2 linked regions of the Mytilus edulis genome follow. The protein of the gene in region 2 interacts with the protein of the main gene of each other region in a pairwise test. Links are inferred from orthologs where the notes say so. Each region holds a gene or a part of one and is shown on either strand. Other genes may lie near its edges.

What was found.
Region 1: the proteins of ubiquitin-conjugating enzyme E2 variant 2-like (region 2) and putative deoxyribonuclease TATDN3 interact in a two-hybrid assay, tested with the Caenorhabditis elegans proteins (2 studies listed by BioGRID). The link is inferred for Mytilus edulis from reciprocal best matches to the Caenorhabditis elegans genes uev-1 and B0432.8.

What each region holds. Positions count from the first base shown.
Region 1 is NC_092353.1:84,482,121-84,489,577, reverse strand, and holds putative deoxyribonuclease TATDN3, read right to left. Parts: upstream 3,051-7,457; 5' UTR 2,990-3,050; coding exon 2,906-2,989; intron 1,739-2,905; coding exon 989-1,738; 3' UTR 943-988; downstream 1-942.
Region 2 is NC_092348.1:73,767,862-73,776,146, forward strand, and holds the start of ubiquitin-conjugating enzyme E2 variant 2-like, read right to left. Parts: upstream 3,073-8,285; 5' UTR 2,988-3,072; coding exon 2,966-2,987; intron 1-2,965. UniProt on the Caenorhabditis elegans protein: Involved in protein ubiquitination, but has no ubiquitin ligase activity on its own. The uev-1-ubc-13 heterodimer catalyzes the synthesis of non-canonical poly-ubiquitin chains that are linked through Lys-63.

The DNA of each region.
Region 1 (7,457 bases), on a different chromosome or scaffold from region 2:
AAAATAAATTATGATTTGGATGGAGAGAAATATATAGATATACATTATTGCGTATGTGTGTTTCTGTGCGAGTATGTTTTTGTGTCGGTGCGAGTATTTTTATGTGCATGGTAGTATATGTTTATTTATGAGTTTAGTTTGATACCCAACAATTTGTATGTGTTTTGTTACTGTTGCAAAGAAAATGTGCAATTTTATAATCATTCTTGTTTATTGTTAAATAAATATAACTCTTTAATGCATTGTTTAATTATTTTCCATGCATTGGACTTTCACCGGATTCTTTAGGCTATTCGTTCATGCAATTCGGAGCAGTAGTATACCGCTGTTCGAAATTCATAAATCGATAGAGAAAAAACAAACCCGGGTTGCAAACTAAAACTGAGGGAAACGCATCAAATATAAAAGAACTACGACACAACAGAAACATAACATTAAAATGTAACACACAAGAAACAAACTATAATATAACAATGGCCATTTTCCTGACTTGGTACACAATTCTTTGCTGTTTTTTTTCCAGAAAATATAAGTTAATCTTGCTGTTTTGAAGTTAGTCAGGAGATAACTGTATTGTATTTTAAGCTCCGAAGGCATCAATTGGGAATTAATTTGATGATCGCAATTAAGTTTACTGGCGACGCGTAATTTTTTTGAAGTAGTTGTATTTTGTTTACGAGTTTCGTCAGGGTTGTCAAAACATGAAACACATTTGTTGGACAATAAACAAGAAAAATTGAGGACATTTTTCCTTTCACCATGTTTACCATGCTGTCCTGAACATATTACAACACCGATTTATTGGTTTTGACAAAATATGCACTAAAAAGATGGAGAAACAAACAGCATGTACAGTCGAAATAGGAAGAAACCTCATGATGATGATATGATCTGTTTTAAAAAAAAAAACATATCTACATATGAACCGAAATAAATAACCCGTTTTACTATCATGACTTTAATTTACTTTACTCAAAAAAAATTATGATTATTTTACAAACTTTTTCAATTTGGGGAAAAGTTTTAATGCGTTTGAAGACGTAATTCTCCGGACTTCAGAAGTGTCCATATTCTTGACCTTGGCGATGTACTCACAAGAAATATGTAAATTAGACGGATTATTCCTTATCCCTTTCTCTGGTCCGAGCCCGGGCGAGTCTGTTTCCAACAGCATATTGTCAATCGGTACTTGTTTTACTAACTTTTCCTGATCATTTCGAACTATAGACGGAGGAATAGAGAAATAAAACCCCTCTCTAACACCCTCCATTGCTACAGCTGGACGCCCATCAAATGCGTGCATTACAACGTTTCGAGCGCCAAACTCCTTCAAAGCTGCTATAGTCGGGCGACCAGCAGAACGAGAGTGAACATTAATGGGTAAATCAAACTTTTTTGCCATCTCAACTTGTAATCGTAAAACTTCCTTCTGAACATCTTTATCACTTGGATTTTTACAGACACGTGGTTGAAAATCTAAACCTATTTCACCAATTCCACACAGAATGTCTACGTGTTTCTCTATTTCTGGGAGAGCTGCTTCAATGTCTGCAAGTGTCACACTTCTTTGGTCTTCGGTTCCTCTTTGGACCGGATGTACACCAAGGCATGGTGACAAGATGTCTCTATACTTTAGTGATATATCTAGAACTTTGGAAAAATCCTCTAGACCTATTGGAACTACAACTATTGCACTTACGCCATCTTTCTTTGAATTTGCTACAACTTCTTCCAGATCCTGAAAAAAACTACATGTATTACTTGTTTAGTCAATGTATTGACTTTGAATTTAAGGACGAGGAATAATTTGTATATGAACCCGAAATCCCAGTCTTAAAAACATGAAATTCTGAGGTCCCGAATTTAAAGAAAATTTAAATCCAGACATCACGAAATACGAAAAAAAATACCGGATCACGAAAGGATCAATCTCCAAATCCGGAGCTTAAAAACACCCGATCCCCGGCGACGTCCCATAAAAGGTTCAGCACCCTCTCTATTATCATTGAGCGAAAAATCCAGGAGTCTGTAGTCTAGAAGGAAGGGAGGTATACATGTAAATATACATCCATTCCAAGATGATTGCCTCCTACTATTATACATATTATCATGGATCCGGATCGACGAGCGAAATGCGCTTTGGGAATGACCACCCTCCCATTTTCTACATACGTGAAATATTCTGTGGCGGATCCAGCCATTTTAAAAAGGCGGGGTTCCCAACCCAGAATAAAGGGGGGGGGAGGTTCCAACTATATGCTCCCATTCAAATGCATTGATCGGACCCCCCCCCCCCGGATCCGCCACTGCATATTTGTTTGAATTGTGTTTGGTCATGATGATTTGTTATTTTTTAAAACTTATTTTTTGAGTTCTTGGTCTTCAGTATCCATACGATATCACAATACCAGGGTTGAGTTCAATATCCGTAGCGGCTACGTAGCTGCTATCTACATGTAACAACTAGTTTATAGCTACACGTCCAATAGTCAAAATCTAAGTAGCAGTGCCACTACGTAGCTGCTACGATATTTAACGCAATATATATGACCCTCCTCTATTCTTATATAAACTACTGTCATTGTAATTTCGAATATAGATAAGAGTAATATAAATCAATATTTATACAATAAATAAGTTAAAATAAGTTAAAATATTTAAAAGAATATTTTTATGAATGAAGACACATACTTTTTGTGGTATAGAAAAGGTTGATCCACTCGCCAAGCTTGGCAAGGCAGGATTCTGTGTTTTAAATCAAATATCTAATCGAATCTTTTAGTATTCAATATGATGAAAACGTCATTATTTGAGAACACAGGAGTTACCTCCCATATTTGTATGGCTTCTTTCTCTCTATCCTAAACTAAAAGTGAGGGTAACGACTAGTTTAACTTTTACTTACCTTATCAAACATATCATCAGCTAGATGACAGTGACAATCTATGTATCCAAGTTCATGTGAATCGTTACACAGTTCTTCCTCCATTTCTCTTCTGTGTAGTGTACACCAACTTGTAACAACTTTTATAGTTAAGGGGAAATAACTCAATCTTGATATTGCTCAATATTGTGACATTAATGTTTCAGTCTAGGATGAAATTTTACAAATCTCGTTCTATTCTCACCGGGAAGTATTTTTGCCTGTTCATTTAAAAGACCAATCTAGTATCCAAATGATATATCATGACATTTCATGTTTTCTCTCTCTTTTAGGGGACACTCACTGACACTCTTATTAATTGTGAAAAGAGGGGGAGGGCGTTTAATCATTTTCCAGGACCATATATATATATTTGCGAGTTTAAATTGTGATACAGAACTACTATTTCACCCAGTCCATCCTTCAAATCAACATGTTATCCCCCTTAAAAGTAATTTAACTAATATTTGGAGAGAGAAAAAATGCCTTGACAGGGTAAATGTTTTATTGGCGAAGCTAGCCAAAGTGTTAGGACCAAAATATTTATCCTTGATGATTGATAAGGCAAGATATATTTATTTCCAACTTTATAATCATGGTCAGAATATTAAATTACGAAATCTGTCAGACCCCTCCCTGTTGGATTTAAATAGTCTTCCCTTTATTAGCCTCTGAGAGGCACGATTACCACCCATAACCTTACACTACTGTTATTGTAAGAGAAAGACCGCATCACATAGGGGAAATAAGTGGAAATATAATTAAAAGATACCGAAAAACTTACACACAGAAAATTACAACCACTCCAACAACAAAGTAAACTGAGTAAAAATGGATGTCTGTGTCGTAGCCGCCTGATCACGTGTATCTCCCTCCCCAACAACAAAGTAAACTGAATAAAAAAATTTGTAAGGGTTCCACGGAACCCAGCGTCTCGCCTACTTTTGCTGTTAATCGCAGACTCAACAAAAATGAGGAAAAACATCAATAAAAATTTCCATCTCGATACTGTCTTTTGATTGAAAGAAGCTTCCAAGTTTGGTAAAAAATCCAGGATAGTTTATGAATCTAATAAATGTTTTATAAACTTTAACTGCAGACTGTATGTAATGTTAACTGGAAGAAAAACTAAGTCCATTTACATGTATAAGTAAAATACGGAAAACGTGATTTTTTTTTTTTACAAAATTTACTTCTGAATAATATCTTATGATCAGAAACAAGCTTTTGTCTAAGTTTGGTAGAAATCCAGGATAGTTTAAGAACATTATAAAATTTTTTAAAAACTTAAACCACAGAGTGAATGTTTTGTTTCTGGCAAAAAAACTAAGTCCATTTATAAGTAAAATACGGAAAAGTGGAAATTTATTTATTACAAAATTTTCTTCTTGATACTATCTTATGATCATAAACAAGCTTCTGTCCAAGTTTGGTACAAATCAAGGATAGTTTATGAAAGTTATTAAAATTTTAAAAATCTTTAACCACAGAGTGAATGTAATGTTTCCTCGCAGAAAAACTAAGTCCATTTATAAGTAAAATACGGAAAAAATAGAATTTTATTTTTACAAAATTTACTTCTGGATACTTTCTTATGATCATAAACAAGCTTTTGTCTAAGTTTGGTAGAAATCCAGGATAGTTTAAGAACATTATAAAAATTTTAAAAACTTAAACCACAGAGTGAATGTTTTGTTTCTGGCAGAAAAACTAAGTCCATTTATAAGTAAAATACGGAAAAAATGGAATTTTATTTTTACAAAATTTACTTCTGGATACTTTCTTATTATCATAAACAAGCTTCTGTCCAAGTTTGGTAGAAATTCAATATAGTTTATGAAAGTTATTAAAATTTCAAAAACTTTAACCACAGAGTGAATATTTGTGGACGCCGCCGACGACGACGGAATGTAGGATCGCTTAGTCTCGCTTTTTCGACTAAAGTCGAAAGCTCGACAAAAAGGATGTCCGTGTCGTAGCCGCCTGATCACGTGTATCTCCCTCCCCAACAACAAAGTAAACTGAATAAAAAAAGGATGTCCATGTCGTAGCCGCCTAATCACGTGTATATCCCTCCCCAACAACAAAGTAAACTGAATAAAAAAAGGATGTCTGTGTCGTAGCCGCCTGATCACGTGTATCTCCCTCCCCAACAACAAAGTAAACTGCGTAAAAAAAGGATGTCTGTGTCGTAGTCGCCTGATCACATGTATAGAGGCGGAGTCCGTGTTGTAGCCGCCTGATCACGTGTGTAGAGGCGGAGGCCATGTATTTATATATTTAACTCCTCCAAACATTTGACTCTTCGTGTGCGTGTTGGAGAACCATTGTCGGATTAAGTATTTTCAAAAAAGGGAAAGGTAAGTAAAATCAGGGAAATGAACATCCATAGTACTCAGGTAAAGTTCTGCAAGTACCTCAAGTTCAGATCTGTACTTTGTCGTTAGTGGATTGTTTTGCTTTGTATCGATCAGATGTAATTTATAGGTTAGTTTTCATTATTAAATTGTATCACATTTTTCATATTGAGACCTTTTATGAGTCGTTGATTTTTACAAAATTGTGAAAACAACCTATTTTTATCTGGTCTTAAATAAGGTATAGTCTTTCTTCAATGACATTTTTTTGATAGTAGTATATTATTTATGTTTAATAATGAATTGAAAATATATACTCTTTAATAAATGTATTTCTATGTAGGCTACTAATTAGAGTCTACTAAATTGTCAGTTGATAATCAACATTGGTGATCCTTTATTGCCTTTTGCTTGCTGTAATGAAGACACTTACTTCTTTAGATAAAAGTCAGTGCTAGAAATTAAATCCCTCTACCATGATACATGCAGACATCTTAAAACGGAAGCAAAGTTGTTGACACAATGGAGGATAGAGAAATTGCTTCTGAGGAGTCAGTGTCAAAACTCTCATGGGACCAGAGGACAAAAAATTTCTATTAAGCAACTTGTCAGCTTGGTATCTTGACTTCAGCTGTCAACTAAGACCCATGTAAAGTAAAGGTGTGGCTGTGTGAAGAGGTATACCTAAGTTCACTGTCATGTCCAGATATAACCTGTAAAAAACTTAAAATATCTTTTGATATTAGAAACCAGAAAAGAAGATGACAATAACCAACAAAGGTTCAAAATAGTTATTTCTTCAAATAACATGGAATCAACAAACAGATATTTCCTTATAATAAAAAAGACAGATTTGCCTCTTCAAAAACCAACAAAATATGTGAAAATTGTCAAGGAGTATTATCTGTGTTCTGCTACTTACAAAAAACAAGAATGTGTCAATAGTACACGGATGCCCCACTCGCAATATCATTTTCTATGTTAAGTGGACCAAAAAATTTGGGTCAAAACTCTAATTTGGCATTACAATTAGAAAGATCATATCATAAGGCACATATGTATTAAGTTTCAAGTTGATTGGACTCAAAAACTACCTTGACCAAAATCTTTAACCTGAACGGACGGATGGACGGACGGATGGACAGAAGGGCGGACGAACGAAGGCACAGACCAGAAAACATAAAGCCCCTCTATTATCATAGGTGGGGCATAAAAAATAAACATCCAAGACAAAAATATTTCCATTATACATCAGTTTTAAACTTACCCAGAAGAATATATTTGATATAAAGTTGTGACTTTATGGAACCATACCAATAATATCTAAGACAAAGCTTGTTTGTGTGAACCAGCGAAAATCTTTTATATCAAAACCATATGGTGTCTCTAAAAACTGTATCAACACAATGAAATAACTTGAAGGTCAATCAAAAAGGTGGGAAGCACGTCCATAAAATCTCACAAAACCTAGCACTGGACTATATCAAGTAACGGAACAACACAATAACAACAGTCATATCTCTGACTTAGAACATACATTACCAAAGAAAATAGTGAGTTAAACCTGGTTTAATAGCTAGTTTACTAAACAATTAAATACAATACAAAAGAAGTAAAAAAAAAAGAAAAGAAAAAAGGTAAAATCAAGGACAATAATAAGTTACTATCTTTAGATGATTTTTTTATTTCTGGAAAATATTAATAAACATATGTGACAAATCAGTATGTTTATATTAACATATTTCTCAATATCAGCAACAAATAAAACATGTATCAAAAACAATATCAAAATACTTCTACAACAAATACTAAAATCAGGCCTATTTGAGAAATAAGTTGATTTTGGGAGGGAAGATTGGCTTATGTCTGATCTCTTGCTAAAATGATTATATTTGTCCCTAAACTTATAAAGTTGCACAATTACCTACAATTCTGTTGCTATGTAGTATCTACAGTAATAATAATAAAAAAGATAGGAACTAAGTTTACAATTTCAAAGTCAAACAAAATAAACGTTATATAATTACTAAATTCTATTTGTAATTTGGTGCAGAAAGAGTTACTTCTCTTACAGCATGGAGTTATTTTCATATTATACAATTAGATAACAATATTTAACACGGTCTCTCTTTGATAAAAAAATGAAATTGATAGTGAAGATCATTTTAAAAATATCT
Region 2 (8,285 bases):
TGGCAATCGCAAAGATATTTCACAGTTACTCATGCAAACTCCATTCAGAGTGATGTTATATAATTAGACTGAATTCAGAATTGCATGTACTGTAAATTCTGAAATTAATGCGACGTTTTTATTATTGAGAAAAATGTGACAGAGTTGTAAAGGCAATATTATTTAAACATGTTAAACAGGATTTTTTTCAAAATCGTAAAAATTAAAATTGCATTTAAGTCTAAACTGACAAAATCGCAATAATAAATACACACAATAATTTCTGAATTTACAGTACTTTGTTAATGATTATAGTCTTACTTAAAAGTTTGTAAAGCTAACAATAAATGTCAAACAAGGAAGAGTTTCAGTTCTGCTTTAATAAATACATTGTATCAGTGATGTTTTCCATTGATGGTACATTTTGTACTAGCCGTGGGTCTACATTGTTACCAGCAAAGTATGAAGTAATGGTACTAACTGTACACAGGGTATTAACAATTAGTCAATATTAAAATCTCATTAGACAAGATAATGATTATATGAAGTATCTTCCACTAATATGTATTGATTTGATTGTCTAGGTAATATTTTGAATGGTTGTCAATAAAAAAAATAAAGTCTAAAAATATTTTGTCATTAATTTGTGATGGAAATTCAGACTCACCCTTTTGACAAAAAATTGAATTAGTGTTTGCCCCCAGCATGCTATATTTTCTACCATGGTTCTATCTTGGATTTTATAACAGATTGTATAGAGCCTGGGGCCATGGTACGTTATTGTTTTTGGAAAACCAGTGCTGCTATGATAATTTCAATGGTGCTTTTTTAAATTCTAGGGAGAACAAAGAAACTGATGGATTTATTTTATTCCTTGTGGCAAACATATTTATAGTAGACCCTAGTTTTGAGTCAAGAGCCTAACATTTTTTATCAATATTTCTTCAAAATCTTTTCACCACTGAACATGGATCAGTATAGTTTTAATCCATCATACATTTTCATTGAACTTTAACACATTTTTGTTTAAAGGCAGCTGATCATGAAGCCCGCCTCAGAGTAGAGGATTTTCTCACTGTGTTGAAGACCCTTGAATTGGTGGCCTTCTGCTATTTGGCCTGGTTGTTGTCTCTTAGACACATTCCCTGTTTTCATTCTCAATTTCATAATACATACATTTGTTTTGTAAATGAAATCAAGATTATAATCATAGTATTTTTTCTTCCTACATTAGCTAGTATACATTGTGTACATGTGGGATATCAAATGGATTACCTGTTGTAAATTAATAACATGCTTAATGTTTGATTGAAGAAAAGCTATTTCCAAGGTTGGGCGGTAAATACCACGCCTGGTATTTACCGGAATTTACCGCCCCGAATAATACTCCCCAAGTGGTCAATACTGGCAAATATTGGTTGATTCAAATTTTCATGGTTGTTTTTACTATTTTTTCATAACACCCCTTTTCTTGAATGATATTATTCCTAACATAGTTTATCTTTTTGAATAAAATGTAGCTACTGTGAATTTAAACATTTTGAAGGCTATACAGTTGCCATACTCATAGTATAATTGTTTACATGTCATGCACTTCATTTCAACTTTGATGGATAGTTTTCTCAATGTCAATCATACCACATCTCCTTGTTTTATGTGTAACATGCATAAGATAATGAATAATTCAATCATGAAAAAAGTTGTTTTTTAAATAATTCATTTGTTTGTCATAGATTGTGTATGTGATTAAATATCCATGTCTTAATCGTAAGCTACAGCTACTTCTTTTTGTCCTAGAGGTTTCTGGTGCCTCAAAAAAAATATGATACATATTTATCATGTTTATTTAACGGTACTTTTATCAATAAATTCAAAAGTTTCTACCAAAAACATTATTTCTGAAAATTGTACAGGAATCAACTGCCATGTCTGTTGCAAAAGAAACACTATTCAAAACTTAATATAAGCAGTAACAGTAACTAAGATCTTTACAATGACTAGTCTTTGGCAAACTAAAAAAAAACAATAATTGGGTAAAAGGGAGCAAATTGATGTCATAAATGTACTTTTACAGTTCATGTAATTTAGTTCATGCAATATTCTGTAGGTGTGACTTCATGATCACCATATCTGATTGATATTGAGAATTTGACAGATGTGTTCCAAATTAGGGAACCCCTTGTTTTGACTAAACAGGCACAAGACAAATAATATCCATGTACAGTAACATTATGGATATGAAGTAATTAGGTAATGCAATTTATGATATCAACTGTTGTACAAATGTATATCGAAACAGGCGATTCTACTGTGAGGAAAGGTAGTGGGTTGTCATCCAACATTCCTGACAAAAAATCATTTATTCTCGAGTCCTGATAAGGTTTTATTCTGAAATCCTTCAAAAATAAAAGCCATATCCCATTATTCACACTAAAATATCTTAATCATGACAAAGGTCTGTTTGTCCCTCTACTGTATTAAAAATGTAAATTATGAGCATAAATATTGTTGAAAAAAGATTTGAATGTGGTCCAAAACATGATTTGGAAGAAATTAAATGAGTTGGTAGCACAGCATCATTTTGCTGTGTGTATCTGGTTATACTCTAGTAAAAACAAGATCATGAATCACTAACAAGGCTAAAACAGGAAATTCTTAGTGTAAACTATGTAACCACTGCATCTTTTATTGAGTTAAAAGGGTATTTAAACGAAGTCTATCCCTTTTATCATTAGAATAACATTTAAAATGTGTCCTTAAATCAAAATTTGGTTAAATTCTTTATGAAAGAAATACCATGATGTTGTGAAAATGGGAGACACCAAACCGGCGTGAAATTCCAAAGTGTTTAACGAACAAGATTTACATAGAGGGCTCTCGTTCAAGATGTCAAGTATTAGGATGTGTGTTATAGAAGTCATTTGACATGTTTTTTTAAAACAAATTTCTGCAAAACTGTTAGAAAAATAGATATTTTGATCTCGACCTGTATCTGTGGAACCCGCCATGATGGTTGCTATATGTAATATCAGAACCGAGTTAGGAATGGGGCGAATCCGGATGAGTGCTATTCGTCACAGGTGTAAAATATTATTTGTGTTTGGGAGAAATTTATTTGTGTTTGGGAGAAAAGTCGACAAAACCTGCATGCACTAGAATTTTTTTTTAAATGTCACAGCCTAAACCACAGGCACTTGTCTCAGAATTTTTTTTCTCATATACCTAATATAACAGGTATATAAGGGGGGGATTCTGCAGGGGTGGATGCAGGAATTTTCGAAAGGGGGGGGTGCTAACCCAGGGCACCCAGGGCAAAGGGGGGGGTGCAAAACATATGTCCCGATTCAAATGCATTGATCGGCAAAAATAAAGGGGGGGTGCGCACCCCCGGAACCCCCCCCCCCCCCTGGATCCGCCACTGTTCTGATACGAGTGCCTGTGGCCTAAACCGATAATTTGCCCCTCCCCCCAATGAATGAATTACATTATCAAAAATTGAAATTGTACAAAAAAAGTTTGGTTACTATATCGACCCCTAGACAGTTTTATACTTTGTAAAAACCGTATTGGACATATTGATTTATAGTGAAGAGATTTTCCTAATCGATTGTTCCGTCTTCTTTAAGAGTATTTTATTGTCCTTTGTTGCAAACCTGGATTCCCAATGCTTTCTATCGTTTAATAAATTACACGTGTAAAATGTTCTTTCCGGTAATGAATGACAAATCGACGTGTATAGCCTACATAATAAAATTCTAAAACAAATACAAAATACAAATATTTTACAAATATTTTATTGGCACAAACACAATTACAATAATTGGCAAAGGCCCATATTACAGTGCATTACAACAATGAATACAGCATACAGTTACTAGTATTTAAATATGTTATAATTAAGAAACTAAAATCTCGTTTCTATACATCAGACATTTATATATATAAGAACTAGTCACTTTCAGGACTTTTAAAGAATTACTATTAATACAACTATTAATATTTAGCTGATTTTCACTACAACATGTAGGAAGTATATTTAATATCTTATTTTTAAAGTTAAATCTATAGTTTGAATTTTTTTTACATTTCAGTAAAAAGTGATTTTCATCTTCTACCTCACCTGATTTACATACATTACAAACTCGTTCGTCAGTGGCTAAACCTAAACATCGCCCCTTTCAATAGCAAGATTGTGTGCACTCAATCTAATTTTACACAGAGATGACCTTTCTAATCTATTACTTAGAACATCAACATAAGAACTACGCTGCTTTGAATTATGAAATTGTTGATAAAATTTTAGTTTTGATGAATCATGAATTTTTGATGATTGATCCTGTGTGCACTGATCAATCACTCGTTGTTTAATACTTGGTAGATATTGTTTAATAGAAAAGTTTCCCCCAGCTAGGTTTGAAAATCCTAGATTGTTAAAAATAGAATAAAGTTTCTTTGTCCAGGGGTTATTTTTTTCAGTGCCAGAAAAACTTTGGATATAAGTGTGTCTTTGTCCAGGGGTTAAAACATGAAAATATATTTATAAAACAAACTTTTAATAAAATAAGAAAAATTAAGATGATATACGTTTCAAAATACTACTGTCAAAAATAAATAATCACGTTAAATACAATTAAATGGAAAGAATGTGTTTATATTAAACTCAATTTAGTTTAAGCAGAGACATATAATACAATTGATGTACTATATGTCTCTGGTCTAAGGTACATGATTTTTTGGGGCTTTAAAACACTGTGGAGCTATATCGGTAACTGCAAGCCAAGTACTCTCAGATATGTACTTAGTGTCCGGATTTTTTGTTGTTATTGACGAGGGATGGATAAATACCCTGCCACTATTTTTCTTTAATTTTGTATCTCAACTTTAACGTACAAAAATATGCAAAAAACTGAAATATAATCAGTGGGTTAAATTGTACGCTATAGTTATAATTAATCTATTCTGTCGTTTAATCGTGAAATATCACTGTTTCGCTTAGGGTTTAGTTCTTTTTTTAGGTGCCGATATGTTTTGCCGGCAGTCTTCAGGTGCGAAAAGATCGACTTATCAATTGTACCAAACAGTCATTATAGTTGTAATGGTCTTCTAATAATACCAGAGAGATATATACACATATTTCTGGTTTGGATGATAAGTTGGAAGCGTTTGATTTTCAAACGTGTCGCCGGATTGTCAATTTCATAGAAATACAATTTATTGAAAGAGAACATATTTACTTTGTCCCCCATTTTTTTTTATTTTTTAAGACACAGAGCCAATATCGGTAAGTTAATCATTTATTGACATCAAATCATGTCTTCCTTTGTTAGTTTTTCAAATGTACATTTGTTATGTATATGTATGGTCGTATTTGTTTTTATAAGTAAGTTGTGCTTAATTGTTCTTAAACGAATATAATTTCAGCGGCATGGGGTGATGTACATGTCCCTCATGTACGTAATGCATTGCACTGTTGAAGTACTATAGGAGAGAACACAAATGTTAGTCTTCGTTAATTCATGCTTCATACTGGAGTTTCACTCTGAAAGAAGCTACCTGGCGAGATCCGTTCGCAGACGAACATGAACCAGTTTAAAAGTATTATCAAAAACTGGAAAGACAACTCGATCATGCGCATGGGGCTCCAGCAGATCTTGATGATTTGATATTTTTTGGAGTATTCTATGCAGCTTGAAGAAATAGATGTGCATGTGCTTATAAAGTAGTTCAGTGCTTTGTTAGTTTGTGCAGATGTTTTTATAGGAACATTTTGCTATTGCATATCTTATGTATGTCTAATGTGTATGTTTTATGTGTCTTTATTGTCGGCAAAAAGCTCTATGTACAGTGCTTATCCCACGTTTGTATGGTTCTTGTTAGCCCGCAACTTAGAATACAAAGTCCTATTCTATTTCTTAAAATTTCCTGTACCTAGTCAGGAATTTGGCAGTTGTTGTTATCAAATAGTCCGTTTCTATGTGCAATGTATGCTGGCCTTTGTTTTTTGTAGCAGTTCAGTGTTTCTGTTATTCCATTGTTTTCCTCTTATATTTGATGTCACAGTTTTGGTTTGTGGACCAGATTTGTTTTAGATATTAAATAGATGTGTGGCTATTATACAGCAGTAAACTACTATTGTCTTTATCTATTATTTTCTTACACTAAATGCAAAAGCCCTTTTATTTGATGTTATTCTTATTGTATACTTATTGTGGTTAAAAAGTTTAAACCGGGAAACAACTACTTTTACAAGTTTCATACAGGAAAACAACTACTTTCATAAAAATACCGATGTCAACAAAAGAAACGATACACACGTTTGTAATCCTAGATATCATAACATATAATAGGTAAGGAAATCTGTTAAATTATCCAATAGAAAACATTCATTATCAAGGCAAATACATATGACTAAAATAATCTGACCAAATTGGAAAGTTAGAATCTACCGAGTTTTTAAACACCGACGGGCCAAAGTTATTTTGCGGAAAATGATGCCAAAAGTCGGCACTTCATTTCAAAGATGAGATTTAAGTATTCAATACCTGCGAAGTGATTCAATATTTAAAATTTAAAGTTTTAAGTTTTAATATCGATTTTTATAATTTTTGGGGTAAAAATACGATTTTTGAAATAACAACCAAAAAAAATCGCGTTTTTGCCTTAAATCAATGGTTTTGAGAAGAAAATAACACTGTAAAAGTTAGAACATTTGGTGAATTATTTGCTTTGGTACACTGTATCCAATTTTATTATTTTAAGATTTGAATGCTTCTTTTTGTAACTTCATTGGGATGTAAAAGCGTTGACCGAAGATCATTTTAAAAATGTTAGCACGGGCACCACTTTTACAACCGCTAATGTAGTTACAAAAAGAAGCATTTAATACTTATAATTACTTTTTTTTTTAGCTAGGATCACGAAAACACGATTTTTACCAAGTTTTTTTTATTTACATGTGCACTTTATTGTGGGACCTCGTGTCATCATGAATGATAAATTTTATTGTGTAATGAAGTTGATTAAGGAATAATGTGAGATTGCAGTCAGCCAATCAGAATAGTGTATTATAATGAAACATACATCTAATCTAATTACATTATATGCAAAATGCATTGCCTTGTAATTATTTCTTTTGTTGCCTTGTACATGTATATATTAAAGTTTTATTCCAGAAATCAACTTCTTTTTATAAGGATAAACAGTCTCTGGATAAACAATTATATGTTTTCTTGAAATCGGTTGTTTACGTTGTTTATTCTTGTATACATTCTAACCAAATCTAGCAGCTGCAAAATCATCTTAAACTTGTTCACACTTATGTAACACCACACGGTAGAAAAAAGTTTATAAAAAAGTAGGGTTTTGCGTTATTTTCCATCATTTAAATACCATCTGATTTCTGAAGTTTAAAGAGGGCCCTCATGGGGTTTTTGATTATGTGATTACTTGGCCGTTTTTTTTAATGATTATTTGATTATTAAGCCAAAAATTTCATGATTATTTGATTACCTAGGACTGTATTTTTAGTTTATGATTATTTGATTACTAAAGATAAGCAAATATTTAATGATTATGTGATTATATTGGCAAAAAAATGGTGATTATGTGATTACTAGGACCCCCCCATGAGGGGCCTCTTTAAAGTTATAAAAAAAGTCGCGTACTTCCCCTCCCTTTATTTGAAATAGCATTTATGTACTATCAGTACATTTATATTTTATTCAAGAATTAAAAGTTGGACAATTAACATATTGGGGAGGAATATACAATTACAGTGCAGTCTAACTTGTTTCTTTTAACATGCATGACCATTGAATTTGTTTTAACTTTGAATTTCCAGGAGTAGGAATAAATATGTTTTAATACGAAATGGAAAATATACCAATTGGACAATAATGCATAGGGCATCTTTAAAAGATTTAAATAATTTGTAACATCTTTAAACCTAATAAATATTTGCGCAACTATAAGAACATTGAGTGATCATGGCGGGTAATGAAATCCAGTAGCCGTTGCACTTACCCAATATTTAATTGCCTAAGTATCTACGACATGTTCTAAGGGAAGCAATCCCATCACACTTGTATGCTTTCTTTCAATTTTTCATCAGACATCTAAATACTTTATTGATTGTGTTACTTTCAAAAATTTTATTATCCATTTCACCAAGGATTTGTATAGTATACTATACAAATCCTTGATTTCACATAAAACTGTTTTTAAATATTCTATCAACTACATTTAAAATATGAAGAAAATATACCTACAACTTACTCTATGGAAATATACCTACAACTTACTCTATG